Linked DNA regions of Yarrowia lipolytica. The protein of the gene in region 4 purifies or fractionates together with the protein of the main gene of each other region. This does not show direct contact. Links are inferred from orthologs where the notes say so. Each region holds a gene or a part of one and is shown on either strand. Other genes may lie near its edges. The genes, in order: YALI1_F39001g, YALI1_E26336g, YALI1_F28744g and YALI1_C07137g.

The links.
Region 1: the proteins of YALI1_C07137g (region 4) and YALI1_F39001g purify together in Saccharomyces cerevisiae (affinity purification with western blotting; 10 studies listed by BioGRID, with this or other methods). This does not show direct contact. The link is inferred for Yarrowia lipolytica from reciprocal best matches to the Saccharomyces cerevisiae genes ARX1 and MRT4.
Region 2: the proteins of YALI1_C07137g (region 4) and YALI1_E26336g purify together in Saccharomyces cerevisiae (affinity purification with western blotting; 9 studies listed by BioGRID, with this or other methods). This does not show direct contact. The link is inferred for Yarrowia lipolytica from reciprocal best matches to the Saccharomyces cerevisiae genes ARX1 and RPL5.
Region 3: the proteins of YALI1_C07137g (region 4) and YALI1_F28744g purify together in Saccharomyces cerevisiae (affinity purification with mass spectrometry; 13 studies listed by BioGRID, with this or other methods). This does not show direct contact. The link is inferred for Yarrowia lipolytica from reciprocal best matches to the Saccharomyces cerevisiae genes ARX1 and NUG1.

Annotation. Positions count from the first base shown.
Region 1 is NC_090775.1:3,896,841-3,903,838, reverse strand, and holds YALI1_F39001g (mRNA turnover protein MRT4), read right to left. Parts: upstream 3,739-6,998; coding exon 3,037-3,738; downstream 1-3,036. Other genes in the region: YALI1_F39041g (uncharacterized protein), read left to right, coding at 1-948; YALI1_F39022g (uncharacterized protein), read left to right, coding at 1,552-1,935; YALI1_F39009g (uncharacterized protein), read right to left, coding at 2,397-2,906; YALI1_F38998g (uncharacterized protein), read left to right, coding at 3,945-4,331; YALI1_F38986g (uncharacterized protein), read right to left, coding at 4,522-5,175; YALI1_F38954g (uncharacterized protein), read right to left, coding at 5,957-6,998. UniProt on the Saccharomyces cerevisiae protein: Component of the ribosome assembly machinery. Nuclear paralog of the ribosomal protein P0, it binds pre-60S subunits at an early stage of assembly in the nucleolus, and is replaced by P0 in cytoplasmic pre-60S subunits and mature 80S ribosomes.
Region 2 is NC_090774.1:2,630,075-2,637,299, reverse strand, and holds YALI1_E26336g (60S ribosomal protein uL18), read right to left. Parts: upstream 3,635-7,225; coding exon 2,639-3,634; downstream 1-2,638. Other genes in the region: YALI1_E26320g (uncharacterized protein), read left to right, coding at 5,280-6,776. UniProt on the Saccharomyces cerevisiae protein: Component of the ribosome, a large ribonucleoprotein complex responsible for the synthesis of proteins in the cell.
Region 3 is NC_090775.1:2,870,154-2,878,004, reverse strand, and holds YALI1_F28744g (uncharacterized protein), read right to left. Parts: upstream 3,510-7,851; coding exon 1,989-3,509; downstream 1-1,988. Other genes in the region: YALI1_F28765g (uncharacterized protein), read right to left, coding at 1-1,413; YALI1_F28739t (uncharacterized protein), read left to right, coding at 4,081-7,851. UniProt on the Saccharomyces cerevisiae protein: GTPase required for 60S ribosomal subunit export to the cytoplasm.
Region 4 is NC_090772.1:710,047-717,623, forward strand, and holds YALI1_C07137g (uncharacterized protein), read left to right. Parts: upstream 1-3,720; coding exon 3,721-5,175; downstream 5,176-7,577. Other genes in the region: YALI1_C07109g (uncharacterized protein), read right to left, coding at 1-883; YALI1_C07117g (uncharacterized protein), read right to left, coding at 1,264-1,668; YALI1_C07152g (uncharacterized protein), read left to right, coding at 5,229-5,326, 5,722-5,949, 6,119-6,225, 6,725-6,834; YALI1_C07170g (uncharacterized protein), read right to left, coding at 6,839-6,973. UniProt on the Saccharomyces cerevisiae protein: Probable metalloprotease involved in proper assembly of pre-ribosomal particles during the biogenesis of the 60S ribosomal subunit. Accompanies the pre-60S particles to the cytoplasm.

The DNA.
Region 1 (6,998 bases), on a different chromosome or scaffold from region 4:
AAGGAGTCTGATATTGTGGCTGTCAGTGACGCCAAGGGAACTTCTCGAGTTCTCAAGATCCACAGACTGGGTCGAATCTCGTTCCGAACCGTCAAGAACAACCGAGATTACCTCAAGAACAGATCCAGTGCATCGTGGATGTACCTGTCTCGTCTGGCAGCTCAGAAGGAGTTTGCCTTCATGAAGGCTCTGCACGACGAGGGCTTCGAGGTGCCCACTCCCATCGACCAGTCGCGACATCAGATTGTCATGTCTCTGATTGACGGTTTCCCCATGCGTCAACTGCAGGAGCACGATGATCCTGCTCGACTCTACCAGACCCTGATGGACTTCATTGTGCGCCTGGCACAGCACGGACTAATCCATTGCGACTTCAACGAGTTCAACATTATGATCAGAGAAAACTTTGATCGAAAGGACCCCAAGTCCGAGATTGTCGTCATTGATTTCCCTCAGTGTGTGTCCATCGACCACGTGGACGCCAAACGGTACTTTGAGCGAGACGTGGAGTGTATCAAGCTCTTTTTCCGAAAGAAGTTGGGCTACGTGTCCAAGACCTGGCCCGATTTCGACCGCGACGTGAAGCGAAAGGGTGAGGCTATCGACAAGCTGGTGGGTGCATCTGGCTTCTCCAAGAAGCAGTCCAAGGACCTGGAGGCCGCTCTGGCCCAGAGTCTGGAGGTGGACGAGAACGACGTCGACGACCAGATCCGAGAGGACGATGAGGAGAACGAGCAGCTTGCAGAGGACGCTGAGATGATCGAGGATGCTGATCAGGAGGAGCACGACATTGAGGAGGAGGAAGACGACGAGGAAGACGAGGAAGAAGAAGAGGAGGAGGAGGAAGAAGAGGAGGAAGAAGAGGAGGATCCCCTCGAGAAGGCCATTGCTGAGCGAGGCATTGAGAACCTCAAGATGGACAAGTTGGGTAACTACATTTTGGATTAATTGCATGTGGTGGGGGTAAATCAAGGAGAGGCGGGAATCGACGCCACTCCTAGGTAATAATATAAACAGTACATTATTGAATAGAAGCAAGTGTTGCAATAAAAAAAATTGGCTGCTATGCCTGGTTCCTGTCTTGTACCGCACTTCTCACAGGAAATGACACCATATATGTATGCTGCGTGATGGGCGTTATTTTATTCCGTGCAGCAAGCCAGCAAAGAGGAGAAAGCTATTTGAGAACTCTGAAACAGACTTGTTGGCAGGATAGAGTCTTGGGGTCTCCTGATAAGGTCTCGAGTCGGTAGTCCTAAAAATGTTCGCTGTGTCAGAGTCTCGTGTCAGCTGGTGCCACCCGCCCCACTTCAGTCCATACAGTTACAGCTCGGTTACACAAGCGAGCTGATTAACTTTGCGATTTTCATTTTCCGAAAGGTACAGCAGGCACATTCCAGCGGGTGTGTGCACCACGCACTATAATCCGTCTAAGTCTAATTTGGATATTCACTCCACCCACCTCACTACACATCACCAAGGAGATTATTAGTCTGCCTTTTTCTAAAGACCGACTTTTTAAAAAACCACCCATCTCAAGCGACCGCAGCCATGATCTACAAAATTCTGGAATCCTTGCCGGCCGAGGCTGTTCAGAACGGCACCGTCAACCCCGAAACCGTGCTGCCTGGCGTGCCCCTTGATATCCAGGACGGCTTCATCCACCTTAGCACCAAGGCTCAGCTGCTGGAGACGCTCAACAAGTACTTCAACAAGCACGACCGCGTTTATCTGCTGGCGATTGACATTCCCGACACTCCCGGCGCCCCATTAACCGAGGGTGCCGTGGGTTGCAAGCCCGGATGTCGACTACAGTGGGACTTTGTGCGATCGCGAAACGAAAAGTTTGCGCACATCTACGGACACCTCACCAATGGAGACATTTCCGAAATCAAGGAGCTGGAACGAGGCCCCGACGGCTGGAGCTTGTGGTAACCCCGCATGCCACGTATAGAAGTATCGTATTTATTGTGCTGCATGAATATATTGTTGAAAAGAGGGCCTGATGGGTGTCGGGCGGAGGACAGCCGTGTGTAACGCGTAGCCGCTCATTTATTGTATCTGCGCCTGTCTTTGTATACCAAGTTACGGACCTCGTAGTCGTGCCCATGTCGTGTAGCGTGAAGTACTGTTAGCGTGTATCAGAACATAGAGCAGTTGGCTTACTCTTTATTTCTGTTCACGCTTATCGCTGTTGGTACCTGTACTTTAAAGCATTACAGTACAATTGCAAGTGTGCTTTATTATATGAATGTATTAAAGATTAGCTACATGCTGTAGTTTTTGAACGACTCTGACATGGGTCTAGCTGTTGCGTCAGGTCGTGTGACAGAGAGAAGGTGTCCAACTGTATATCATCTCCAGTATATATACACCGCTTAGAACCCCTTCACCCCCTAACTCTGCTCCTCCTCGTATTCCTCCTCATCAGACTCGTCGTCAGGAAGAGCAAAGGGATCGGCCTCCTCCTCGTCGGAATCCTGCTGCCATCCACCGACCTTCTTGAACTCGGCGGGCCAGTAGGGCATTTTTCGCCATGTGCGATCGTCCACCACGATCTCGATGATATCACCGGCAATCTTGTCATCGGGAGTCACGTCAACAACAACAAAGCCACCCCGCTTGACCCACACGGTCTGTCTGAACTTGGGTGGCATCTCAACCTGGACCTCTGGGCTCTTGAACCCGTGGCTCTTGTAGAAGTCTTGAGGCAGAGTCACCTCGTATATGTTGCTGCCCTTGGCCTGGGCGACCTTGGCGATGGTCTGGTTCTCCTTCAGCTCATCCAGTGGCGTTCCAACGGCGGCCAACGATTTCTTGCTCATGGTCGAAAGTTTTTGAGGTTGATAATGGACAGCACCGCGCCTTGCATAAAAGGTGTCGAATAAATTTGAGCTAACCCACATGGAAAATGACTACAAATTAGATATGCACAAATTACTGTACAAGGAAATACAGCGTAAAACTACAATATTTTCCTCCCATAGTTATTCTATTGAAACGTGTCTAATGATTGATTAATATGTTCCGAGACATCTAAGCGGAAATGAAGGGCTTAACCTCCTCCTTCTCAGAGTCGTAGTAGGCCACAGTGTGGACCTTGAAGAAAGAGCTGGTGACGCCAAAGTGCTTGAGCAAACGGGTCTGTCGAGAATCCAGAGTCTGGCCAGTCTTGCAGACCTCGTAGGGGGCGAACAGCTCCACCTTTCCGGCCTTGAGCTGAGTGGGCATACCCAGAGATCGGAGAGTGGGCTCCATAGAATGCACAACGGGAACATCGTCCTCAGCGGGGATCTTACCTCCGGTGGTATGGACAACGCCGGCGGGGATTGTGAAAGTAACGGTAGAGACCTGGCCGGCTCGTGCATAGTCCTCCCGAACGAAAGACTCAAAGTAATCCTTGACGACCTGGGGCTCCTCGTCGGTCAGCAGAAGACCAACATCTCCAGACATGTACTCAGACAGTGCGCCGAGTCCAGCCTTGTACTCATCCTCCTCAGACTTGCCGAGAGCCTTGGCCATGATCTTGGTTCGGCCAAAGAATATTCTGCTGCCCTTCCAGTCCGCTCTGAGATCCTTGAAAAAGGTGTTTCGCATGCCCTCTACTGAGAAGACAAAGCAGTACTTGTGTTCGTCGAGGTAGTTGTGGATCTCGTCGACGATCACCTCCTTGTCCTCCCGGGTCTTCTTCTCGACCTTGGTGAGAGCGATGACCTTGTTTCTCTTTGACTTGGGCATTGTGATGTATGCTGTGTGGTTAGAAGATGGATGGGAAGTCCTGCCAAAATATCTGCACTAGCTGCAAATATTTTTTTGGCTTTGCATGAGGGCAGAAAAATTAGCTTTGATACTCCTCTATCGAAACCACATCCAAAATCAAAACACCCAATATGCAGTCTGTGTAAGTGGCCACTCAATTATTGTACCATTCGCCACCCAAAAACATGTCTATTTCGACCCAGGATCTGCTGGAGTTCCATAAGAAACATCTAGGCGAGTTTCAGGGCACAATCAAGTTTGATGAGGCAGGTCAAGACGAGGACACTGAGCCCTCCCTGGGCTTCTATCCTGATGGAGTTGAACGGACTCTGACGGACGAGCAGATCGAGTTTTTCCGTCAATCCGACATTCGAAAGGAGGAATTGCGCATCTACAAGGAGAATCTGGTATTACAGGGAGCAGAGTCACAGGCAGAAGCTCACGCGGAAGCTCAAGCAAAAGCAGAGACAAACATACAAGCACTGGATCCAACCTCACAACAAAGACAGATAGAAGTGGCAAATGATGAGGAGGGTATGAATGAAGGACCAGGCAATTCTACAATGAGTTGATTCATCCAGCATCGAGCCCCCGGAACCAGTTTAGATTGCACCTCATCCATCATCTCCACACACACACACACACACACACACACACACACACAAACGATCCATAGCTAACATTTATTACAAGTATGCAATCATATACGATTATGTTTTTATATACTGAAGGGTATGTGAGTTGTTTCCAGGGAGACCGGATTTAAATGCAGTAGTATCGGTCGCCAAAGTCTCCGAGACCGGGCTGGATCCACTTGTTCTCGTCAAGACCGTCGTCAATGACACCAGTGATGATCTGGACGTTGGGGAACTTCTCAGCGAAAGCAGCAATACCCTCGGGAGATGCAATGAGGTTAAGGAAGAGAATTCGCTCCTGGGGGACGCCTCGGGCAATGAGAACCTCGACGGCCATCATGGCAGAACCTCCAGTGGCAAGCATGGGATCCAGGAGGAAGACGAATCGGCTAGAGATGTCCTCGGGCAGCTTGTCGTAGAATAGAGAGGGCTGGGCGGTCTCCTCGTCTCGCTGAATGAGAATCTTACCGATTCGCACGGACCGGCAGCAGTCTCGAAGGCCCTGCTCCATGGACTCGCCAGCTCGCATAATGGAGACTCCGCAAATCTTTCCCTCAAATGCAAGACCCTTGAACTCAGCGCCGGTTGGCGTCTTAACGAGCTTATCGGTCACGGGCAGCTGGTTGAGACCCTCCTCGACAAGCAGACGGATGATTCGGTCGGAGTAGAAGATGAAGTCCGACCGAGAGGTGTTCTTGTCCCGGATGATGGAGTAGAGACCAAGAAGCTGCCGGGTCTGTGGAAGCACGTTGACGTTGGAGGGAATGGGCGAGGAAGACATTGTGTGTGTGTAGTGACGGAAGGTAGAAACGGAAAGTAGGGTCGCTTTTCTGGAACCAAAATATATATATTAGGGTTCAATTGACACGCATAAAAATTTGACCCATCTCGACCCACTCCTGCATACCTCAAGTCTTATCTCGGCACTGCCGTGGATGTTCCGAAACACTGAAAACACATAAACATACATGCCCGTGCTTGGGTGATTATTGAACGGGTTGGAATAAGGCTTCGAGGAGTCCATTCTAATTCCCCTCTTTGAGAGAGTCGCGTGCAGTTCTCCCACCCTTTAGAGTGTGGTCGTAATTGGCTTATCATACACTATCGCAGCTAATACCAATACTTGACCCATGCCCCCCGCTTGGAGCTGCCAGTAGCGGGTGTTGATTTTAGTGCGAGACTAGAATGAGAAACAGGTGCAGAAAAGGCGGCAGTTACCAACAACCTGAATAGATCGGTTTGCCCCTCACGGCTATTTTTCCCTCCCTTGGACGAGCTCTAATCGTCGATAAGGATAAGCGTTTCGAGGCCGTGTGTTAACATGGCTTGATATGAGTGGAGAGACACAACCGTCTTATGAGCTGATAAGAGTAAATCCTATAGAGCTAAACCCGGTCACGCTTTCTTTCCGAGATACCCATGTTCATGGCAATATGTATATATGTATGCTTGTTTGTATCGGATGTGTATACACTGGAGTCGTCGTCTATTAAATATTTTATTGACACTGGAGAGAGGGAATTATGTCAAGCACAACGCTTATGTAGGTACTCTTATCTAGTCTATGGTTGTTGGGGTTTTCGTCTAGCTGAACCCTCCTCGTCATGAGCAGAGGCAGCCTGCTCAGCGGCCTGCTGCTTGGCCATGTCAGGATGGTCCTCGACATGGTGAGCATGGTCGTGGAAATGCGTCTTTTGACTCTTAGACTTCTTGGACTTGGGCTTAGGCTTGGCCTTGGCCTTGGCCTTGGCCTTGGCCTTCTCGTTATGCTTGGCTTCGCCTTTCTTTGCATTGTCCTTAGCCTTCTTCTGGGCCGTGTCAGCATGGTCTTGATGATGCTTTTCCGAGTCAGCTGCTCCCTCAGCATCCATGTCGTTGGCCACATCCTCGGCTTTATCCTTGTGTTCCCGCTTCATGCTGCCTGAGCCAGAGCCAGAGCCAGAGCCGGAACCCTGCTGGTTGAAGAAGCCAAAGTAATCAATGTAATCAAGGAAGGTTGAGGCCTTCTCTTCACTACCAGTATGATCAAAAGGGTCCTCGTAAGTAACGTTGTTCACATCCAAGTGCTCAGCATTATTGTGGCCATGAAGAACGCCTCTAGAGGTAAGGCCCTCCAGAATATGCTCTCGCTCCTCGTCAGAGAAGGTCTGAATCCATCGATCCACCTCGGCCCGCATGATTCGATGCAGCTTGGTGTGTGCAAGAGCAGGATGATGGAATGTTTGGAGTGCCTCATCCACAACAGTCTGAGGATCAATAGAGGGATCCTCCCAGGCTTCTACCACAAAGGGAACGACGTATTTGACCACCTCTGCAGCCACGAGGCCAGCAGGCTCGTTTAGGTATGCTGCAAAATGGTCCTTAGACAGTCGAGAATGAGTGGGATCGGTGGACTTTGAGTTAATCCATACGTCAATCTGATCATCGTGGTATGACAGCAGAGTGACAGATGCATGTAGAATCTCAGTGACTGCCTCCAAGATGGGATTAATGATTGGGTTGATGATTGAGTTAGTGAATGAGGAAAGAGCGTCGGAAATAGAAGATGCCATCATGCCGAGCGCTGTAGAAGAATCGGAGTCGCCAAAGAAAGACTCCAGGGAA
Region 2 (7,225 bases), on a different chromosome or scaffold from region 4:
ACAGTGACACCAACACCACCACCCTCCGCGGCCTCCTGGAGCGGAAAAGGAACAGCAGCTTCAGCTCCGTTTTACCGGCATAATTTTCAGCCGTACCATCGCACTACTGTACTTTAGCGGTAGTTTGCGACCTACAATAGCTCCACCTTTGCCGGCCAGTGACTAGAGTCCGGATTGCCCACCAATAAAGTTGCTGGTGTCGGTCAACAAGAATGTTAGGTGAGACATGTGCTCTGGAGGTATGTAGAGGGCCAAGGGGCTGTGAATCTGGAGTTGGTACTGCTGAGTAGGGGCCCTGTAGACTGGTCCCGTTACCGCCCCTCTGGTTGGTTGTTTTTTTGCCCGTATTATCTGCCATTTGGCCGTCCATATTGTCTTCTTTTTCTATACCCATGTCGATCTCGACGATCCCAGCAGCTGGTCTGCACCGCTGTATTATTGGGCAAGTGCGCTGTACAAGTGGAAGCGGCCCTCTTCGCACGGTTCGGACGGTGGTCACGTCCACGGGTTGCCATATTAACCAAGTCTAAGGACCAGCTTTTCACTCACACTCGTGCTCTTTTCTAACCCTACCAAGGTGAAACAAAAACAAAGACGCATTGTACATTAGTCTAGCCCAAAAAAACAAGTGGGGGAAGGTCAAAGTGGGTTAGACTTCCCCGAATCCGTTTGCAGAAGAGTTCAGGCCTTTTTGAGCGATTTGCGCAATACGAGACGAGCATCCGGGGAGAAAAACGGTATCGTTTGAGATGCGCAAGCATCCCGGTCGTGTCTACTCGCGCCATACCACCTGTTTGTCCTCTTTGACGCTCACATCTTCTCTGCCCCGGGCTTTTGTGTCTTGAAGCCCATGTCCCGCGCCTCTTTGTTGCCCCGCCATTTTGCCATATTGCTACAGGACATGCCGGAATGAGACAAACAGCAAAAATAGAACGACACTTGGTGCATGTTGAAAAAAAGGTCCGTGACGAGAGAGCGGGACGAAAAAAATGAGCAAACTTAGGTCACGTGGCTGGAGCGACGCGGAGAAGCAACAATTTGGCGATGACTGAGCGATCCTCGGTGTTGATTTGAGCTCACAGCGCGGCTCATTGTACCTGTAGCCAGGTACGTCAGAAGCTACAGTATGTACTCGGTCGCTAAACCGCTCGCTAATGCAGTGCGCGTCCCAGAGTCGGCTAAAGTGGATGCGGAGTTTTTTTCTGCATTACAGAAGAAAGAAGAAATTGGAGGAAATTGGAGGAAATTGGCAAAAATTAAGACTGGTGACGGATATCAAGGCTGTTGACAATGAAAACTTCATGATACTGGCAGAGCAGCAGTATGAGTGTTCTGGTATTGCTGCCCTGCCTGTCCCCCCGAAAATACACTCATAACTCCACCAACTTGCTGTTATTGTACAAGAGACATCCACCGAATGAGGAAGTTATAGAGTGTGAAGAATTGACTCGCCATTCCGGCAGATATGTGAGACGCCCATTCATGGACTTGACAGTATCTTCGGTGAGTACCCGTGAAAGTACAGTACGAGTACATGGAGGCAGTATGAATTAATGCACTTCTGACACGACCCACAAGAACGCTGAATACCTGAACAATAGTGCTGAAGCTGGAGATTAACCAAACTGTCGACACGAAGACTTCTGGCAAAACGCTACAAGTATATTTCCACTCTCTCTCCGTTCACAGACCCAAACACGAGGTGAGCGTAACAAGCACAGTAGTGTTCCGTGGAAGACCAACCGGTGAGACATGGATGAGAAGTGATGCTATAAACATGAACTACTTGTACGAGTATTTGTACGAGAGTTGATGTACAAGCTACTTGTAGGTTCGTAATAGCATCTAAACTGTGAGCATATACAAGTACATCCTGTACTTGTACACAGGATGGTACTTGTACAAGAACCATACGGATAATTGTGGTATAAATGTGGACACAGGATCATCAAAAAGGGTCACCGACTTGAGTGTGAATTGAGAAGTTGTCAAGCGGGATTGTTCTGGTCTGGTAGCCACAGATGAAGGGTTGTATACCATGCTATACAAGAGCGAACGGGACACTTGTATCAATCAGAGTATAGTCTGTCTAAGAAGTATGGGTTCTGTGGTCACCAACGATTCTCAGATGTCATTTCCATGCACACAACTACAAGTAATTATCTTTATCAACTCACCATGCCCGTTTCTTTCTAACGACTACAAGTATCGTACAGTATGAGTAGTCCGCATACCGAGTCCCCACAGACATCATAGTAGATAGTTTTAGCTGAAATGGAAACTGAAAGTAATACTACTGACTGCCCCGCCATTTGCATTCAACATTTCACCCTTCTGTATCTACTATGATGTCAGTGTTTCTCAGATCTACCTCCTCCTAGTCCTTGCGATCAGCCGCCTGCATGAACCTTCAAAATTTTCACTGTTGATTCTGAATGAATATCAGCTCGGAAGGGAAACAGAACTGCAATCTGCTTGCTCGTAAAGATCAGATTGTTCCCTCGTTATTAACGCTCCGTCCCTCGGGTATTACTGTGTATTAATCATCTACAGGTAGCTTTCATGTCCTGGTCTTAGGCCAGTCGTTTCCGCATAAAATGGGTTAAAAGTTTTATTTTTACAGATTCGAAAATCGCGCTTACTGCTGAGCACGGATCTCCTGGATCTTGGCCTGGACACGGGCGTCTCGCTCGGCCTTGGTGAGCTTCTTCTGCTTGTACTTCTTGGACTCAGCAGCGTACTCGGCCTTGGTCTTCTTGGCGGTAGGCTTGTGGTCGGGGTCAGCTCGGATCTGCTCGTGGGCAGCCTGGAGGATCTCCTCGACGGAGTCAGCGTCAACCTCGTCGTCGAGGTAAGACTGGAAGATCTGTCGGAATCGCTCCTCATCATCATCGGCAAGCTCCTCCATGTACTCGGAAACGTGGCCAGCGAAGATGTACTTTCGCAGGGTCTCGGAGTCGAGCTCCTCGGACTCGATATCCCAACCGGGGAATCGAGAAGCGGAGTGGGGGACGTAAAGTCCACCATCGGAAGCACCCTTGAGAACACCGAAGCACTTGGCACCGGTGGTGGTTCGGGTCATACCGACATCAAGGAAGACCTTGAAGGGTCGAGGACCGTCCTCAACGGCCTCGGTGAGCTCAAACTCACCCTCAACCTCCTCAACTCCCTTGTAGGTCTCGTCGAGGCCGAGCTTCTTGAGAGCTCGTCGAGCAACAAGAAGACCGACGGCGTAGGCAGCGGCCCAGTTGGTAAGACCGTGCTTGACACCGTATCGGGGAAGCTCGTGAGCGTAGGCGGCAGTGAAAACAATGTCACCCTTGAGCTGGGAAGAGACAATCTGGGCGATGATGTCCTTGTTGGTGAATCGCACAACAAGTCGGTACTTGGGGGTGTTGTACTTGGCCTTGTGCTGGGTCACGAGTCGCTTTCGAGCATAGTAGTCGGTCTTACCTTCTCGTCGTCGACGGAAGGGGGTCTGGAACCGAGAGTGGTAGGCAGAGGTCTTGACAATCTTGTTGAACGACATTGTTGATGAAGACTGATGAGATGAGACGGGATTTTTCACCATTATAAAAAATAGACCTTGGGAGTTTCCAAGCCTGTGACTGTTTTCCCAAAAGGGAAAAGTCATGTGATCAGAGTGGATTTTGAACCTTAATTTATAGGAGAGGGGTCAATGATGAAAAAATGAGGGGAATATGATGATAAAAGGATACAGAGTCGATTGAATGGCGATAGATAATCAAGAGGTTTAGTGGTATTTTTATTTTTATTTTTATTTTTATTTTTATTTTATATCATTGAAACTAATTTCTTTTGGCTCCTTATTTCCACCCCTATGTGACATTTCAGTATCTCAAATATCGTATAAAATCGCCAAAAATGGAATATTTGAAAATAACCCACAATATAACCACATAAATATGTTCATCGGATCTTTACGCTTGAGAGAAGAAAAAATCGGACTCCATCGAACCCCCTGAAGACTTCAGAAAAAACCGAGATACTTTTTGTCTTCTACCCCCACCCATTTGTGCTGCATGACGCTGTTGTGTGTCACGGGTCCAAACCTCTTGTTAGGAGTTGTAGTACACTCTTTTTTATACAAAAAAAAAAAAAAAAAACAAAAAAACCCATATTAATTTATTACTATTTATTTCTTATTCTTTTATTTATATAAATTTGATTTATTATTTATTCATATTTATATTATTCTATCAATTTATAATGTACAAGTTCATGTACTCAGAAGATGCTGTGGACTCACTGGGTAGTATATCTCAACAAGTATGACATCTGTGGCACGAGGAGTACAGCATATATAAATTATAACTAGATGATCGCTTTAAAAATAGTACTACTGTTGCAGAACTGTACTCGTTTTCATTCCATGGTGTGCGACTATCTTGTTAATGGATTGATTGTGGGTCTACCATACGTGCAACCGAGTACAAGGAATCAACAGACGAATTTTAGGGCAATCTGAGAGCCCAAGGAGCTTGAAATTGGATTAAACGTATCAATGTTACTCCGAAGATGTTTTTTTCCTTCCCCATAGCATCCATTGTATACGCCAGGTGGGCATATAAAGATCTGTGCTGTTACTTTAGTGTTGGACATGCCAGTTGACGACTTCAAGTGGATTGCTGATACAGGCCCCTGGACTTCCGATATTCATATAGTGGTCAACTATCTTTCTTATTCTCTTTTTGTCCACACCACCAGGTATTTCTAGTACACCATATTGATCATTGTACGTCAGGCTACTTGTAGCTTGGAGAAGTGTCCACGAATCCTTGTAACGATGCCCGGACCAACAATGGAGTACAGGGAGGATATAATGTTGATAATCTAGATGCTCTTCTGACCCGTGCCCATTCCCAAATTTCGACACTTGCCCAGGTTTTTTTTTTTTTTTCTGCATATACATTCATTTCATTATAAGGTACTTGTATCGCTGTTGCTTTTCTTCCGTTATCTCAACTACTGTAATTAACAAAGGGACTATATGGTTAAGTGTATACTTAGCTTTTTACTTTCCACTCCCCGAATGTCAACGAACTATTGTATTAGTGATATACAAGAGGAAAAAACAAGCAAAAATGACAAAAATGATTCAATCACCCGAATAACAATGACGCTATTTTTTATTTTTTTTCTTCTTGATTTGTGTAACTAATTGCACGCTCCATCGATATCTCCGCCACCTGCATGGCCCTGCATAGAGTTCTCTACGCCAATATGGATCTGTGGACGTGATTCCGCCGCCACCACACATGGAATATCGACATCTGGAACTCGCCAGCCATCTGTTTGACTCATGCATCTTTGACGAGGCTCTCAGCGTGCTCGAGACGGGTCTGCTCCGAACCCCCGTCGAGCTGCCAACGTCCAAAGAAACAGCCATTCTCATGACTCTCGCGGCGTATCCTCTCTCGCACCTAGGAGGGGAGACCGTCAAGACTATGACGTACAACAGCGTTCATCGGGGAACACGCGACTGTCAGAAGACGCCTGGAGCACGCGCCACCGCCCTTCTGAGACGCTTGCTGGAGTTCTCCAAGGGATCGGGACCAGCCCAAGAACGCATGAAACTTGTGCTACGATCATCTCTCATTGACCATATCGAAGAGGAGGGCGAGCAATCGAACACTACGTCAACACAAGCGAAGGAAACTCGGACAAGCACATTGGAGCATAAAGGTTGGGACGATGTGGCACAGGTACCTGTCGATCGTTCAAAACACGAAGGAATGGATTCGAATCTGCTGAGAGACATGGTGCCTCACAATGAAAATCTGAAGAAACTCTCTGATCATCTACGTCCATTGTTGTCGTACACAAGAACCTCTTTGTGGTTATCGCTGTGGACAGTCTATGGGTACTACTTGGCATGCAGTGGGTCCCCCAGTGCGCCACATCTGAGTGCCTGGGCAACCGTTCGACCTCTCTTGCATGTGATCCAGGACATTGTCGAGGCTGACCCTTTCATTTTGCTCAGTTTCTACGATTCCCACGGCAGCATGTCCGAAATCTGCAACCGAATCCTACCAGGCAAGGGACGACCCATCACTCCTCTGTTCATTGGAGATGTAGATTTCGGTCCCAATTTCGATCCCGAGACAATTGACCATCTTAGGGAGGTTGCATTTGTGGAGAGTATGGTCATACGAGAAAAATGGGTCGAAATTCTGCGGAGTAACGTCGAATTTTTTGGCGCAGAGCCGAAGGCTGAGTGGTACCTGCTCGACAGATTCACTACCTTTACTGCTACTCATCATCAGGTGATTCCCCAGGTCTACCCCTGTGTCTACCTACCAGATTACTACACTGTCTTCATTTTTCATAAGTACATCAAACGGTGCACTCAACGGGCAGGACATGTCGTCAATGCTGGGCAGTTTTTGGAACGAGTTTCTAAAGGAGAGGAGAAGGAGTTGTACGATGATGCTATGGATTTACTAGAGGTGGCGTTAAGTGACAGCCCTGATCGTGGCTTGTTGGAAGGAGGAGCTTCAAAGATTTACTCTCCAGTGCTTTACGCCTTTTATGGTCATGCTCAATTGTGGGTGAAATTGGCCCTTCAGATCGGTTCTGACACTTTTTCGCCAAAAGATGTCCTGGAGTATCTTCGGAAGGGGAGGACGACGCGTTTCCAGGTGTTGTCCTCGTACAACGAGAAGAATGAAAAGGCGCCAGTTCTTTGTAAGCAGGAGGAGGATGTTCTTACTGCCATTGTCAAAGCCAAGTTGATCCTCAATAAGTATTTGTGAATATGGCTGTTATTTATATGTTAATGAAATGATTGAATTCCGGTAGGGGCACTGCACAGATATACCGAAAATGGTCCCAGGGTGGTGTCATTGGCGACAGATTCACGTTGGTCTTACAGTACATACTCTGCTCCTCTATCTGCGTATTACCATATCATGAAGAACGTGACAGAAACCAAATGAAAATAATTCTGACCACGACTAATGTCATATAAATATAATTGGTATCAGCTAATCTCATTAAAGCTGTTTTTGTTAGATCACCATCAGTGAATCGGCTTGTTTCAATGCCAAAGATTCTGTTTTCTTTATTCTAGGGAAATACATTTCATCTACTTGAGGCTAAAGGCAATGTTATACCCGCAAATCGGATTCGGATTCGACATCGGTTGTTCAGAAGAGCGCATGACATTCGTGTTCGCTTGTTCACGTTTTATTTCTGTTCCATC
Region 3 (7,851 bases), on a different chromosome or scaffold from region 4:
AGCTTTGAGAATAGTAACCCATCGGCCAGTCTGGCAGTTGTGTTTGATTCGAACGGAAGGTTTCTTGATTTCGGGCAGCTCCTGGTCGCTGATCTCGGGTTCAGCAAGTTTGGAATTTCTGGTTCGTCGGGTCTTCTTCACAGGCTCTGTTCCGTTACCGTCATTCAACATATCCAAGAAGTAGTCACTCTGGTTGAAGATGTTGATGGTGTCGTCATAGCCGTTGCAGACAATCTGGCCAGCCAGGTTCCAGTCGGTAGAAGACACAGACAGTCGGGAGTTGTAGATGGCTTGGAGATGGGGCATCTGGAACTGTGTGTCGATGACTTCTCCCCCAGGAATGGTTCTGGCAGTTTCAGTTGCTCTCAGGTCCCATATTCGCATCGATCTATCCAGCGATCCGGTCGCAAGCAAATGAGTGTTGATGGGGTCCACCGAGAAGCCACCAATTTTCTTTTCTCCGAGAATCAGAGTCTCATATTCAGTTGATTTCGTTCGTAGATCTTTTCGAATCAGGTGACCGCAAAGAGTAGAGGCATAAAGAAGATGAGGTTGGGAGTGATTTGCCACGTCCGAAACACCGACACTGGCGTTCTTCTTGGCCTCCAAGTCCAAAACGTCTCCACTCTTGCCTGTTTTCAGCTCCAGACTTCTCACAGAACCGTCATAGGAAGCGGAATACAAAATATCGTTGGAATTTTGATCGAAACAAAGAGCAGGAATGGTAGCGTGGTGCAATTGCAACTGTAGGGGCTCGTTATCGGAATCAACATCCCAAATACCCAACACTCCAATCTTGTCTCCGGCCAAAACAATCCGTTTATCTGTACCAGGATGCACAGCAGTGATGTAGATTCGCTCTTTAGTTACTTTGGACATTTTTCCGAGCTGCAGACCGCTCAAGTTGTCTCTGCTCTGCTTGATGTCAATGTCCTTAGTATCCTCTTCTTCCTTCTTGACAATCTCATCAAAGAAATCTCCCTGACTGACCCTCGATCCGTCTCCAAACAGCTGGCCCAGCGACGCACTCCACTCCTTTTCGTCGAGTCCAGTCTTAGTTAGCATCTCCTTGAGACTCAGATCTCCAGACAGTCGCTCCTTCTTGACTCCTCCATTGAGCTGTTGCATCAGTCGCTTGAGCTCACCGCTGCCTCCCAGGTCCTCCTGCTTCAGTGCGTTTGCCTCGGGATCCAGACCCTGCAGCCGACGCGATTTTCGTCGAGTTCTGGGCGCGGAATCGTCAGATCCATCGTCAGGCGACTCAAGTCGAGCTGAGTTTCGTTTCCTACTCTTCTTCGGCGCAACCTCAGGGTCCACGCTCTCCTTTTTGGCCTCTGTGGGAAGATTCAGAGCCGCCAACAGTGCTTTGTTTCGCTCAATGTTGGCCAGACGAATCTGCTCCAGTTCACTCATTATCGTAATTTTGTCTCTTGGATGTCTAGCTGGTCGCGTCACTGTCGAAAATACTAAATGGCGGTGGTTAGACGCGTATGCATATCCGATGTCCCAAAGTGGACGTTCTTATAAGAGCGGACGGGTGGTGGTACATAGTCGGTGTAGGTCGTGTGAAGACGTTAAAGGTACCAGAACAGTCATATATAGTCTTTGATTTGATTAATATGTTGATATCCTGCTCACTTCCACTACAGCCGCCAAAAAAACACTGCTGTAACGGTCTTGTGACTCCTTCATCACTGTCCAAATCGGGAAACAATAATAACTTAGTTTGGTCAGAAAAGGGATTGCTATGATGGATCAACATTAGACGAGAGAAGCACAAGTATGATGGCTAAAAGTGCATGGACACACGACCTTCAAATCGCCCCCATATGCTTGGTTTAGAAGTGACTGCTAAACTTGTCCACTTCCTGATCTCATCCGAACTACGTCGTAGTTGGTTGTACCCCTCTCCTACACACTCTGAAATACCAAATAATGCTCTATACTATAACCTATTACATATCATGTGTACTTTCCGTTTTGCACTCCTACATGTCCACGTCCTCGTCATCCTCTCCTGGGGTCCACAGACCGCCGAGATCAAACTCCTTGGCCCACTCCTGGACCACAGTCTTGGTGTCCTGCTGCTTGGCGGGAGCCTTGAGGGACTTGGATGACGAGATACCAGGTCGGTTCTCCTCGTCGGCAAGGGCCTCAGTGTACTCGGGAGCCTGGGTCCATCCGAGAATTCGCCCGTCTCTCCAGTCGTTGATGATGTTCTTGGAGGCAGCCTCGAGGTTGGGGATTCCTCCCTTGCCGAGTCGGCCAGTCTTTCGAGCCACGTGAATTAGCACGTTTGTGGTGAAGTCCTTGAAGTTGGCGTGCGACAGAGGGGGGATAGAGTAGTGCTCCATGAACTGCTGCAACAGAGACTCGTCGTTGGTGAGTCGCTTGAGCAGCAGTTGGACAGCGGGAACCTGGTCGACCATCTGCTTAGCAGGAATTGCGTTCAAGAGCACGAGACGGGCCTGCTCCTGCACCTTGTTGGCCTTCTCGGAGGGGAAAACGATACCCGGAGAGTCGAGAATCTTGAGCTTGTTGTCGATCTTGACCTCTCGAAGAGCGGTGGTGACACCGGCTTGGGCTCCGACGGGACAGGCTCGTCCTCCTCCATGGATCTTGGTGAGAGCGTTGATGATGGATGACTTTCCAACGTTAGGGTAGCCAATGACTCCGACAATGACAGACCGCTTAAGCTGCGAGTCCTTAGCGTACTTTTTGAGGGCGTCCAGCAGAGCGGTGGAGGTGGACTGCTGGGTCACGTTTTTGTTGCAGAGCTGTCGGCCGGTCACGGGACCGGAGTTGGCAGCTCGCAGGGGCAAAGTGGGGAAGGTGAGTCGCAGAGTGTTGACCCAGTTCTGCAGGTTCTCGGCAGGGATCAGATCAACCTTGTTAAGAATGAAAATAAGTCGCTTGTCGGGATTGGACAGAATGGCAGATTCGACAGCTCGAGACCGGGTTCCCTCGGGATCTCGAGAGTCCAGAACGTAGAGAATGACATCAGCCTGGTCCACAACGGTCTTGAAGATCTTGTCGAAGGCCTTTCGCGAAGACTCGTTAAACACATCATCACCAGGGTTGACCTTGACATCCAGCTCCGTAACCTCGCTCTCCATCTCTTCGTCCTCGTCATCACTGCCATCGTACTCCTCGGCAGCAGCCCGTGCACTGGCCAACAGAGCAGCCATGGGGTTGTCCTCAAATTCCTCCTCATCAGGCACGTCCTCGCCTCGAGACCGGGCCTCAGCTCGGGCCTGTCGAGCTTCCTCCTTCTTTCGCTCCTTCTCGGCCACCTCGGCCTGTTTCTGTGCGTCCAGCTGCTGCAAAAGCTGCTCCTTGTAGGGGAAGGAGTTGGGGATACCGAGATCCTTCTTGTTTTTGGACTTCCAGGTCACGTCCTTCTTGGCGAGCTTTCGCTGTTTTCGACCATGGGCGGCAGCCTTCTTCTTGATACCCTCTCTCAGTCGAGTAGAGGTTCGCTTGGATGTGGGGGCCTTTGGTTTGGGCATTGTGTACTGTGTGTGGAGTGGTTCTCAAATGCACGCTGAATATATTTTCAAAAAAAATTCAAACTTCAAAACCTTATCGTCCAAGGTGCAGTGTTGTGGGAGGCAACTTGTGAGTGGCAAGATAGGCTTGGGGTGTAAACATAAGGAAAGAGGTTTGCTTAAATAGTGGAACTGGTTTATTGGCTTATTTGAAAGCGATTGTCAATTTCACTTTTCTCCCAGTATATCTACATCTTCGGTAAGATAGGGTGTTACGCGAGCTCTAACCTCCATGCTGTCTATTGGGTGGAATTATAGTTACGTTGTTGTTACATCTTTAGTTGAACAATATACCTGCATCTCTCTAATACATACTGTAGTGTCTCTCCCACCGGCCTAACACACAGTTCATCATTGACGGGAGGTGCCCGACATTCCTGTCTACATGCCACTTCAAAGTTTTCCACGACGGTGCGACACTCAGCTCGGTAGACGAGATTGTAGAACCCCCGAACAGTCCCCCGAACCCCCCTAGGGTGACCACTCTCCATGAGGTGGACACAATGCTCCGACCGGGGCAGAACCAGTAAGCATGTCTTTCACCTCTACTACCACCCCTTCTAAAGCCCCATGTAAGAGCACCCAGGCCAAAATGAAATCTCCGAATGTTAAAGTCATCACGGCTAACATCGGCGGTTTTAAGATGGCGGAAGCGCTTAACCGATTACCCGACACCATTGTAAACATTATTCGAACTACTCACTACCCCGATCTCGTCCTTCTTCAAGAGACGAACTGGGTGGACTCCTCCCTACAAACCGCTCAACAAATCATTTCAAACTCGCCCTACCCGGGGGGCAGACACTACACCCTCCTCGGCTCCACAGCTGGTGTTTCTAATAGAAGCGTCGGCGTGGGGCTAGTCTATTCCGACAACGTCACCATCACAAACTTTACAACAGTTTTTGAATACTTCCCAGCCCTAGACAACAGACTGTGTTTGGCCGACGTGCACATCAAAGGCACCGACAGACACCTATCGCTGATCAACGTATACGCACCAAACGAGCAGGGAGCCTCCCCCTTCACTAACCGGCAGTTCTACCAGTCACTAGACGACTATCTACGCCTCCATCCCTGCCAATACCCCCTGATAGCGGCAGGCGATTGGAACGCGGTCGCCTCCAACGACGGCAGGATTGGCGAAAAAGTGACGACTCACCTTAAGGACTTCTTAGCTAACTGGGACTTACTAGACACCTACACTCTAATCAGCAAACACAGAAAAGGCCTCTACACTCACACCAACAACAGCCGCGGAGCTGGCAGGCGCCTGGATCAGCTGCACATCTCTTCGACACTCTCACAGTGGATCAAATCCACACAACTGGTAACCAACAAGCAGGGTCACAACATCACGAAGTCCTCTCACCACGCGGTCCAATTCGTCTTTAACTTTGGCAACCTCACCCAGCGACAAGACAGAGGCCCAGGCACCTGGAGGATGCCCTGGTGGGTTTTTGATACAGAGTACATTGCTTGGCTCAAGTTCCACGTCAAATCCATTCTGAAGCGATATGGTCCTTTGAAGCCCAGCCTGAAGCTGCAATGCCTGAAAGAAAACATTAAGGTCACCATCCAACAGGAAGCCAAAAACCGCGCACTTCGAGATTCCAACCACCCAGACAACAGACGCCGCGAGGCCCTCATGGCAACAGCCTCAGACTGGCAAGCCTACCCAGCTAACGAGCCATACCCGATGCTCCATGCTCGGGTCGAACAATCCAAGCAACAGATGGAGATCCACTCCCTACGGAACCACCAAGGCCGAGTGAAGACCGACACCTCCTCTCTCTGCGACATCTCAGCTCGATACTTTGACAACATCTTCGACAGAGCTGCCGATATCAACGACACCGACGACAGCGCCTTTTTAGACCTCTTCCCCGAAGAAACCCGGAGGGTGAATACAGCTAACCCAAGCCTGGACTCGTCTTTTACCAAGGAGGAGATCTTCGATACCATCAAGGCGTCTACGCACAACAGCGCGCCAGGGCCAGACGGCATCCCGTACAGGTTCTACCGCGACTGCTGGGATGAGCTGGGGGACTTGATGACGGACGTCTACAACGAAGCTGGAGCCGACTCGCCCATCAGCACCGAACGCAACACCGCTATCATCAAACTACTGTACAAGTCGGGAGATCAGGCCGACATCTCCAACTACAGGCCTATTTCTTTGATCAACACAGAGGTGAAGATCTACACACAGCTCATTAACAAAGCCATCCAGAACATTCTTCCGGACAGCATTCACGGCGCCCAAAACGGTTTCGTACCGGGTCGACACATCACTAACAATCTCGACACCATGGATCATTTTTGCAACGCCTACTCCCAGCTGAACATGGGTTGGGTCGTAGGATCACTGGACTTCCGGAAAGCCTACGACACTATCAGCCAGAGTTGGGTGATAAAGACGCTTCGAAATGTGGGTGTCTCGGAACTGATGATCAACCGTATCCTAGCTGTACAACAGAACGCAGTAACGAGAATCAACATCAGAGGTGTCCTATCTCGCCCAGTCCGCATCAAGATCGGAGTGAGACAAGGATGCCCTCTCTCTCCAACCCTCTTCATCATCGCAGTAGACGCACTTGTGCGTCGTCTGGACCGAGAGATGTTTGGACTGGCCCCAGGCCTGCCACTATCCCACCACCACACCACTGGGCACAGGCCGCCACAACCCCCTACTCACCCGGAGGCAGTGGCAGCTGGACACATGAAGGTGTCGGCTTTCGCGGACGACATAGCGGTGTTCCTCAACAACATCCAGGACGTGGCCACGGTTGGTAGAGTGCTCTGCCTCTTCCAACGGGTCTCAGGCCTCACACTAAACCCGTCAAAGACGGTGCTTCAGAAGATCGGCCCCCCCGATTGTTTTGTTCCACTAACCTTTATTGACGCAGAATGGCAGCGAACAATTGACGCCACCTGGCCAACCGACAACAACACACGACAGGCCCCGACGCTCCGGACATCTGACAACATTTTCCGGTACCTCGGAGTACACTTCGGAAATCGCGAAAGGTTGGACACGCACTACGCTCAGATCAAGGAGGACCTCAAGGAGTCGCTGCGACGCCTTTCACTATGGGGTCTCCCCTATTACAGCAAGGCGTGGATGATCAACATCTACTTCTTCTCGAAACTGAATTTCCTTGGACCCTACGTCAGCCAGATCGACAACACCTTCATCCGAGAGCTGAACGAACTAGCGTGCGACAAGATCAACAAATTATCACCCGACAAAACACGCAAAACCTTCAGCAATGGTTTCATCCAAACTCCGGTAGGCAGAGGAGGACTGAACCTGCGGGACATGGGACGTTTCATGGTGTGCCTGAAGGCCGCTCGGGCTTACAGGTTCTTCCATGGCTCATCGCCGGCCCTTTGGGACTGCACCTTCCAGTTCTACAGCAGAACTCACAGTCTCACACAGGAAAAGCCACACCAGCGCGTCGACTGCCGCTTTCCGACAGGCCAAGCTTGGGGCTACGCAGCCTCCCCCACCATGCGAGACGCAATCAGAGCTTCTTTCGAGCTCAACAAGCCCCTCACCGCGGAACATGCCAACCCTCGAGAAGATCACGAGCCCTCTACAACAGACACAGTTAATCACAGAATCTGGGAACGAAACCAGGTGAACGTGAGAGCAGCAGAATCTTTCCGGGAAGCACACGTCGACATCGCAGCCGCGAGACGATACCATCCGGTCAGAATGGTGTCCACAGCGGAAATCGACCACCTCCGGTGGAGCATGGGACCACTTACTCTAGAGAACTTCATGTTTCACAAGACCTCGTCTCCCGACTTGCCAAACTTCCCACACACACTTGCACGACCGAAGAAGTGGACTCAACGAAGCGACTACGGGGGCATCTCTGACGACATGGTCTGGCAGGAGGTAATGCATGACCTTCGAAAACACTACATCGCCGACGCCAACAAAGCACAAGTTCTTCACCTCATGCGGATATCTCGACTTCCGCTCGTGAAATGGAGATACCCTGACGACCACGTTTTCACCAAGAAGAATCCAGGATGCGGGCTCTGTGATAAGGCCATCATTCAGGATCTGCACGAGCATATCTTCTGCAAGTGCGAAGTTCTTCTTTCCATGTTGACCAGGATGAAGATTCCGTCAGTGGACTCTCTAAAGGACTGGATCTTTACCGAGTCGAAATGTGGAGTACTCCCCTCTTTCCCAGGGCATGTGAACAGTGACGCCCCCCGGAAACATCAACAAGTCAAGACACGCAAATATCTGCGGGAATTGGCTTATGGGATCTGGAAGATGGAG
Region 4 (7,577 bases):
CATCATTAACACAGCCACTATGACCACCGACCTTTCGCACCAGACGACCAGTATCGCCCTTCCAAATCACCACTGTTCGATCAGCAGACCCGGAAATGATATGCTCTCCATCACTAGACCATTTCGCCTTGAGAGTCGCCTGCTCAATACCGTTAGGAGCATCAGTCAAACACAACAGTTCTCTCGACTTTTCGTCAGCCATAAACGGCTTTGTGTCCCAAACTCGCACGGTATTGTCGTGAGAATGGCTTGCCAACCGGTTGTGATTGTAGCTCAGACTCGTGACGATATCTGTGTGTCCATCAGCGCCCTGGAAATCAATCTGCTGATTCATCCGCAAGTCCCATCTGCTGATCACGTCATCAACTCCTGCACTCCACACCGTCTCGTGTCCATCTGTAGCCACGGCAATCACGGGATAATTCGTTTCAATCACACGTGACTCGCTATCCTTCTCTCGAGGATCCCAAATGCCAATACTGCCATCATCCGAGCCACTGTAGATCAGCTCGTCGTTTTGTCCTCCACAAACCACGTTCACAGCAGCCGTATGGCCCTTGAAATTCCGGATCTTGTGTCCGCCATCAAAAATGGAAATCGTTGTGTCTGTAGAACAGGTAACCATACGATGCTTGAGGAAAATCGCGCCCAAAACTGCTCCCTTGTGCTTTCCAACCTCGTACTGCTCAACCGTGTCATCACGTGACAGCTTCCACAGCTTTACCAGTCCCTCCAGATCGCCTGAAAGAACCTCCTTGTCTGCACTCAAATCACACGCCAGAACCGGGCACGAGTGTCCAATCAGCTGGATCGACGTTTCTGTCACGTGATCTGACGCAACATGCGTCGACAGTTCGGTTTTCGGCTTCTTGACCAGCGACATGGTTGTGTATTTTTGTATTAGAGCTCATGACAATATCGAGATGGAATATCTTGGTGGTGTGCATATATGCTGCAGTAGGGTAACTGTTGGGTTTTTTGAAGAAATGGGCAAGTTTTTGGTATCAAAATGGCCGCCTTAATGGGGCGACAAAAATGGTGCCAATTATTAAACGGATGGGGTTTGATTTATTTAGATTATATATGTTTGTAGCAACAGTCGAATGAAGGTATTTCAAAACCTTATTTAGAAGATGTCAATATATACGAATGTTGGACCATTAAATTAATAATATCCCTCCTAAATTTGGGTAGACAGGGTCCATGGAAGGAAGAGAGCCACTTTTCATCATCTATTATCACATATGTATGTCACTTAGTGCTCTACACCTCCTCCATGTAGTCTAAGGGCTCGTTTCGCATGTTCTCAGGAGGTTCGATGGAAGGAATGAACTCCAGCACCACAAAGAGAGCGCCGATTCCGAAAATAATGAACGAAATGAGGTATCGGAAGAAGCCACCAGACATGAGAATGGCGGCAATCAGAATGTACAGAATACCTCGCCCCACGAATGAGAAGAGGAACGAGCCGTACTTATGTGCCACTGGGGGGGTGGCAAACTCGAGAGATGCAATTGAGTAACCAAAAATGATAAGATAGAATGAGAGGAGAATCTGCGTTAGTAATGGAACTGGGTTGCCAAAGGTTGGGACGACAACAATCGATGAAGGGCAGTATCCATGGCGAGGAGGCCATGAGCGAAGCACATCAGAATGAGCAACAGTCATTGCCAGGCTGAATAGTACGTCTGAATCAATAGCACGCCAGAGGGGATAGCACGCCAGAGGGGATAGCACGCCAGAGGAGATAGCACGCCAGAAAACTACCAACGATGTGAAACAAGACAGATCGTGAGAACGATCCCATTGAACCAGCAGGAATAGAGGACTTTGCTGGAGACAAGGTTCGATTCTCTGCAGCCCATCTGTGGTATCTGTTTTCTCGTTTCTGTTGTCTTGTTCCGGTTCATTGTTGTTCCGTTGGTGCTCATCATATTGCTGGTATCGCTGAGTGCTCCGGCACAGTCTCGATAGGTGCTCCGACACAGTCTCTCGTGATTGCCATTTCCACTGATGTCTTCAGCATATCAATTATGTTGGGCTATCGTATCAGTGGCAACCATCGCTGTCATTGTCCGTACAGTACTCACATCTTGTCTGAGTTAGTATTGAAGAGGTAGCAAGTCCAGCTGGCCCGATTGAGCTATGATTTAAGGGATTGTGAACAGCAGCCTTTAGAAGCATTCAGTCAAGTGCTTCTAAAACACCTCTGAAATGTAGTGCCAACAGTGTGATGCGCAACGTGTGTGGATGCCGTATCATCACGTAGACAGAGTACCTGTATCTGAGGGTCCCCTAACAGCCACTGTCGTCACAAAAAGACACCCAAGCGCCGCTGTATCGCCAATCCCACACAATGTTGTCGCTCAAGCCCTCAATCTCCAGTCACTGCTCCGACTTGCCCCCTACCCGCGCCCATACCGTGTACTCACAAACTAAGACCCAACTGAGTCAGTCCTCCAACGACGGTCAAGGCGCCAACGCCGATATTGGCGAGCCGGAACGCACCGCCCAAATCCATGCCTGAAATCGCCGACATGTCTGTGTGTATATTCTTGTGTGTCTTTTTTTGGTGTGTGTTGTGGTGTGGAGATGGCCAAGTGGGATACTGGAGATATGCACGAGGTGCATGTGGCGCTGGACTGGGAGGGTGGTTACTAGATCTCCGAGAGGAGCTATGGGGATTTTAATGATACCATTTTGATCGACTAAGCGAGAGGAATGGAATGCACCTTTCAGAAATTCAAAACTGCCACTAATCGCCATTGTAAATCCCCCCCTAATTCCCTTAGTAAGCTCGTCCCGTTGACTCAAACTAAAATTAGCCGCTGATAGCGAGCCTATAGTGGTCACATGAGATAGAGAGGTTGGTTGTGTGGCGATATTCGAGAGAAGGGAGCATGTGGGTGGTTAGTCAGACGAACATACTGCTTAGTCAGGTCAGACGTCACCGCTCATTTGCTCTCTCTTCTTTTCTCTCCTCTTTTTTTTTTCTGCAACTCTTGCTCATGTTAATTTCAATCCAACTAATGGCTCAACTAAAAGAAAGTCATCAACTAAATCTAAGTAATACCAACTAAACACTACTTGTTCCTGACATGGCTTCTCGGGATAAATATCTTGTCGTATATTAGTAAAAACTATTTAATCTTCCCCACAAAGAAGCTTCAAAATGCTTTCTTGTTCAATTATCACTTATGGGAGCTTTTATCGCACCAGTACATTCTTTACCATAGTCCCTACACCAGCTCCCCACAATATACTCACCATATGCCCCTTAATAAACCCAAGAAGACCCAATATTGGTATCATTCCACTCCTCCAGAACTCAGCTTTCTATTTCCACCACTATCCCCTCTATTTCTCCAAGTCTTCAAACAAGACAACCCCTCAACATCGCCACCAATGGTCAACAAACATCACATCTATAGTCTCAACTAAATATAAGGTTCTTCAACAAATTGTCGTATCAAACCACCGCTTCAATCTTCCCCTAAGCTAATTAAATCTGCTCAAAAACAGTACTGTAGATTTATTACATCATCCTGACCCTCCAGCCCAAATCTCATGTCTTTATCTCTTCTCTGGAACATACCACCGGCCGCCCAAATTACGTCGTTTTAGCTTTTAAGGCCCTAACCCTCAAATATTTTTCCACCTTGCATAACAGTGTAATTTTTTTTTTTTTTGGACCTCACATCTAACCCACAACTAAACATCATGTCTCTGGCCCGATCTACCGCGCTTCTGGACGAAAAAAACACACTGACGAGCTCCGTCACCGACAAGTACCGTCTGGCCGGCAAAATCACCCAGACGTGTCTGCAGCACATTATCCAGACCGTTCTGACCCAATATGAGACGTACACGGTGGGAGAAATGTGCCGTATGGGAGACGAGTTCCTCGAGCGAGCCACCACCGCCGTCTACAAGTCTGTGGCCGAGAAGGGCATTGCTCAACCCGTTCGAATCGAAAAGCAGGAGTTTGTGGGAGGAGTGAGTCCCGAGAACGGCGACAAGTTCCAGGGAGGCATGTTGGCGCCCGGCGATCTGGTCAAAATCTCTCTGGGAGTCTACATTGACGGATATACTGCCCAGGTGACACAAACAGAGGTTGTGCGACACGTGCCCAATACCTCTGCTGGCGAGACCGAGCAGCCTCTGACCGGATCTCCTGCCGATGCGGTCTGTGCCTCCTACCTGGCGTCCGAGGCGGTCATTGCCTACCTGGCCCAGGTGACCGATCCCAACCCCGGCAAGGCTGTTGGAGTTGTCACCGGTACCAAGATCCGAGAGCTCGTCGAGAAGATTGCTGCTGCCTACCACGTCAAGATTGTGCCTGGATCTTCTGTGCGACGTATCCGGCGTTTCCTCGCTGGTCAGCACGACATTGTGCTGGAGCGAGACTACAAGGGCGTTCTCTGGGAGGTTGAGGGCGAGGAGGAGCGAGCTCTTCACGCCGTCAAGCTGGCCGAGTCCGAGGCTAAACAGGAGTCCACCGAGGGCGCCGTCTGTCTGTACGAACAGCACATTGAGGAGGAGGAGAACTTCACCGTGGAGGCTGGAGAGGCCTACCAGGTCGACATTCAGATGGCTGCAGCTCCCCAGAAGGGCGCTATCCGTCTGTACGACTTCCAGGGCTACGACGAGTCTGGAACTGTGATCAACCAGTACGGACGAGACTTCTCTGTCACCTATGGACTCAAGATCCAGGCCAGCAGAAAGCTGCTCAGTCAGCTGGAGGCTACCACCTCCGTCTACCCCTTCAAGCTGTCCCACGTCGAGTCCAACGTTGCCAAGGCCCGTCTGGGTTTGGGCGAGATTCTGGCCCATCAGATTCTGGTGCCTATTCCCGTCAAGGTGGCCAAGTTTGTGCCTCTGGCTGCTCTCTACGAGTTTTCAAAGAACTCCAAGGCCCGGGCCCGAGACGAGGCTTCCAAGGCTGTTCCCGTTGCTCGAAACTCGTCTTCTGTGCTGCTCACCAATGACGCCTGTCTGCGACTCACTGGAGGCCAGGCCTTCCCTCCTCCTTATGTGCACTCTGCCTTTGAGCTGCCCGAGGACGTGACCAACCTACTCAAGCTGGTGGGCCACAAGCACGGAGCCAAGGTCAAGGATGTTCTTCCCGGCGACGTCGACATGGCTCCTGCAAAGGAGGCCAAGATGGAGGAGTAATCGAGTAACCGATAGTAACCGACCGAGGAGACAAGGAGAAGGAGAAAGAAGCCATGGAATTGGCCTATGTTGATGCGATGAAGCAAGCAAGCAATAGCTCACAACGAGCAACACCTAGGATATTTTGGATGGACGTTAGCATTAATAGATTGTTATGATATATGGTTCTCGGGACTGGAGGGACACCGACCACTGTAGTGTTTGTAGTGGCACAGGTACTGCCCAGCGAAGACCAGCTGGCACCATTTCTGTGAGATGCTGAACCTCCATGAAACAATACGAAGCATGACTGAGTAGTTAGATGCTATACCAGGTCACTGTGTATCAGATATCTCCGCCAACCCGTTCTATCCAAATAACAGCTGCGGCGATTCACAACACTGGCTGTATCGCCGTCTCAATCACTAGACAGTCTATCAAGACCTTTATCACCGGAGTGGACATACACTCATTCATGGCTCGTTTACCTACTGTACCTGTAGATGTGCTTGGTCATTATCGCAGGACTGGACGTCATGGCCCATGGCTCTTAGAAACGGCTCTCAGAAACGGCTCCCAGGAACGCTCCCAGGACCTGTATCCGATCTTACAGGCATTCTGTGGAGCTCTAGCTGGTCAAGTGATCATTGGACTCAGTTCCAACGTGTTTGGAAAACCATTGTCGGTCATCATTTCCTGTATCGTTGGAGAAGCAGTTTTTTCCAGAGCAGAGGCCGGGATCAATGAGTCTGCTCTTTCCTCCAGGTTTCCGTCGACTATTGGAAAGTCGTTCCCGTTTACTGTCTGAGCTGGCCCCCCGACGTACCACTTCACCGACGCTACGGCTCGCCTACCTGTTTGGCAACCGGACTTGTTGACCAATATTGGAGAACGATTTACCATTCCCGACGACCAAGATCCCCATCTTTCAGAGTACGATTACGACAAGATACTCGGACCCCAGTGCACCAATGGAGATGGTGAGAGAGAAGGGCAGTGAGGAGTCGGAAGGAACGTCTGGAGAGAAGTTTGGAAAGACTCGAATTGAGAGTCTTGACTCGGATCAAACTCGTGTGGATCACGTAATGTACTCAGGAGAAATCTACATTGTCTCATAGCTACAGACTGTCTTCGTATAATGTACTACATACGGTATTGTACATAGATAGCACCACCTCAATGCACTAAATGGACTTTTTGTATTCGAACTTGTTGATCTTATTACATCAGTGGAATCGTCACGAAATTATGAGTCCATTGGTACCTTTTTTTGGTGGTATTTCCTTTGATAAATGAACAGGTTAGGCTCCTGTAGATTCGTTCTACCATGCTACTACAAGTAAGTACGTGCGAGTACGATACGATAGTAGGCCCGGAGTATATCCTGTAGACGACGAAAAGCCCTCACTTTGTCATTGTAGACTATTGAATGGCTTTTGCGGAAACCAGTGTCTCGACTGTCTGGGACGGTCAAGCTGTGGTGACCACCAACGAGAAGGCCGAGTCGGTGGTCAACTTCCCCACCACCGACCGCTGGCACTTCCGCCCGCTTCACCTTTGCTCCTACAAGTACTGTACTTGTACTCTTGTCCTACTTGTACTCTCTTCTGCCACTTCAGTTCCCTTCTGTTTCCGTTCTGCATGTTCTATCACTGCTCATATAATCATGTCATAAACTAATTGCCTATTTCTTGGAGTCAAGGTGCTTCTCAAGGTCGGCAGTGTCCTGCTTGAGCTTGTTAAGCTGCTTTCGGAGAGCATCGAGCTTCTCCTTCTCCTGCTGCTTGACGTAGAGGTCCTCCTGGGCCTTCTCTCGTTTCTAGGTTAGTATGGTAAAATGAGGTCGAGTGAGTCGTGGGGAAAGCGACCGAGCGCACTATAGAAAGTCATGGTCGCTGGCAATGGGGAAGCCATGTTGATGGCTATAGGGAAAATGTGGTGGTTGATTCCAAAAAGTCGTGGTGAGCCAGGTCAGGATGGCAACAATGTAGGATGGTGACGACACAAGGCGGCCACGCAGGTCTCGAATAATGTCAAGCGTCATTACAGCTCATGTCTAACACATGTATCTCAATTGAGGTGTTTCAGAACTGGAGACAATTGTTCCGTGTGACCACAGCAGTAGCAATTCATCAATCTGACAACAAGCCACGCCAACCAATTGAGCACCATAGAGCATAATGATCCCAGCTTGACACCCAATTAATCACCCAATTGAACCCCAATTGAACCCCAATTGACATCACTCGTTGACGCCACCCACCACAGTGCCACGATAGTACCCCACAGTGCACAGTGCAACACCACCCATGATATCAATTGCCACAAAGCCACACATCTAGCCCCAACTCAGTGCAAACTTCCAACTTCTCTCCTTCCTCTCCTTCTATTCCTCCTTGTCAATGTCCTCATGCTTCTCCTCT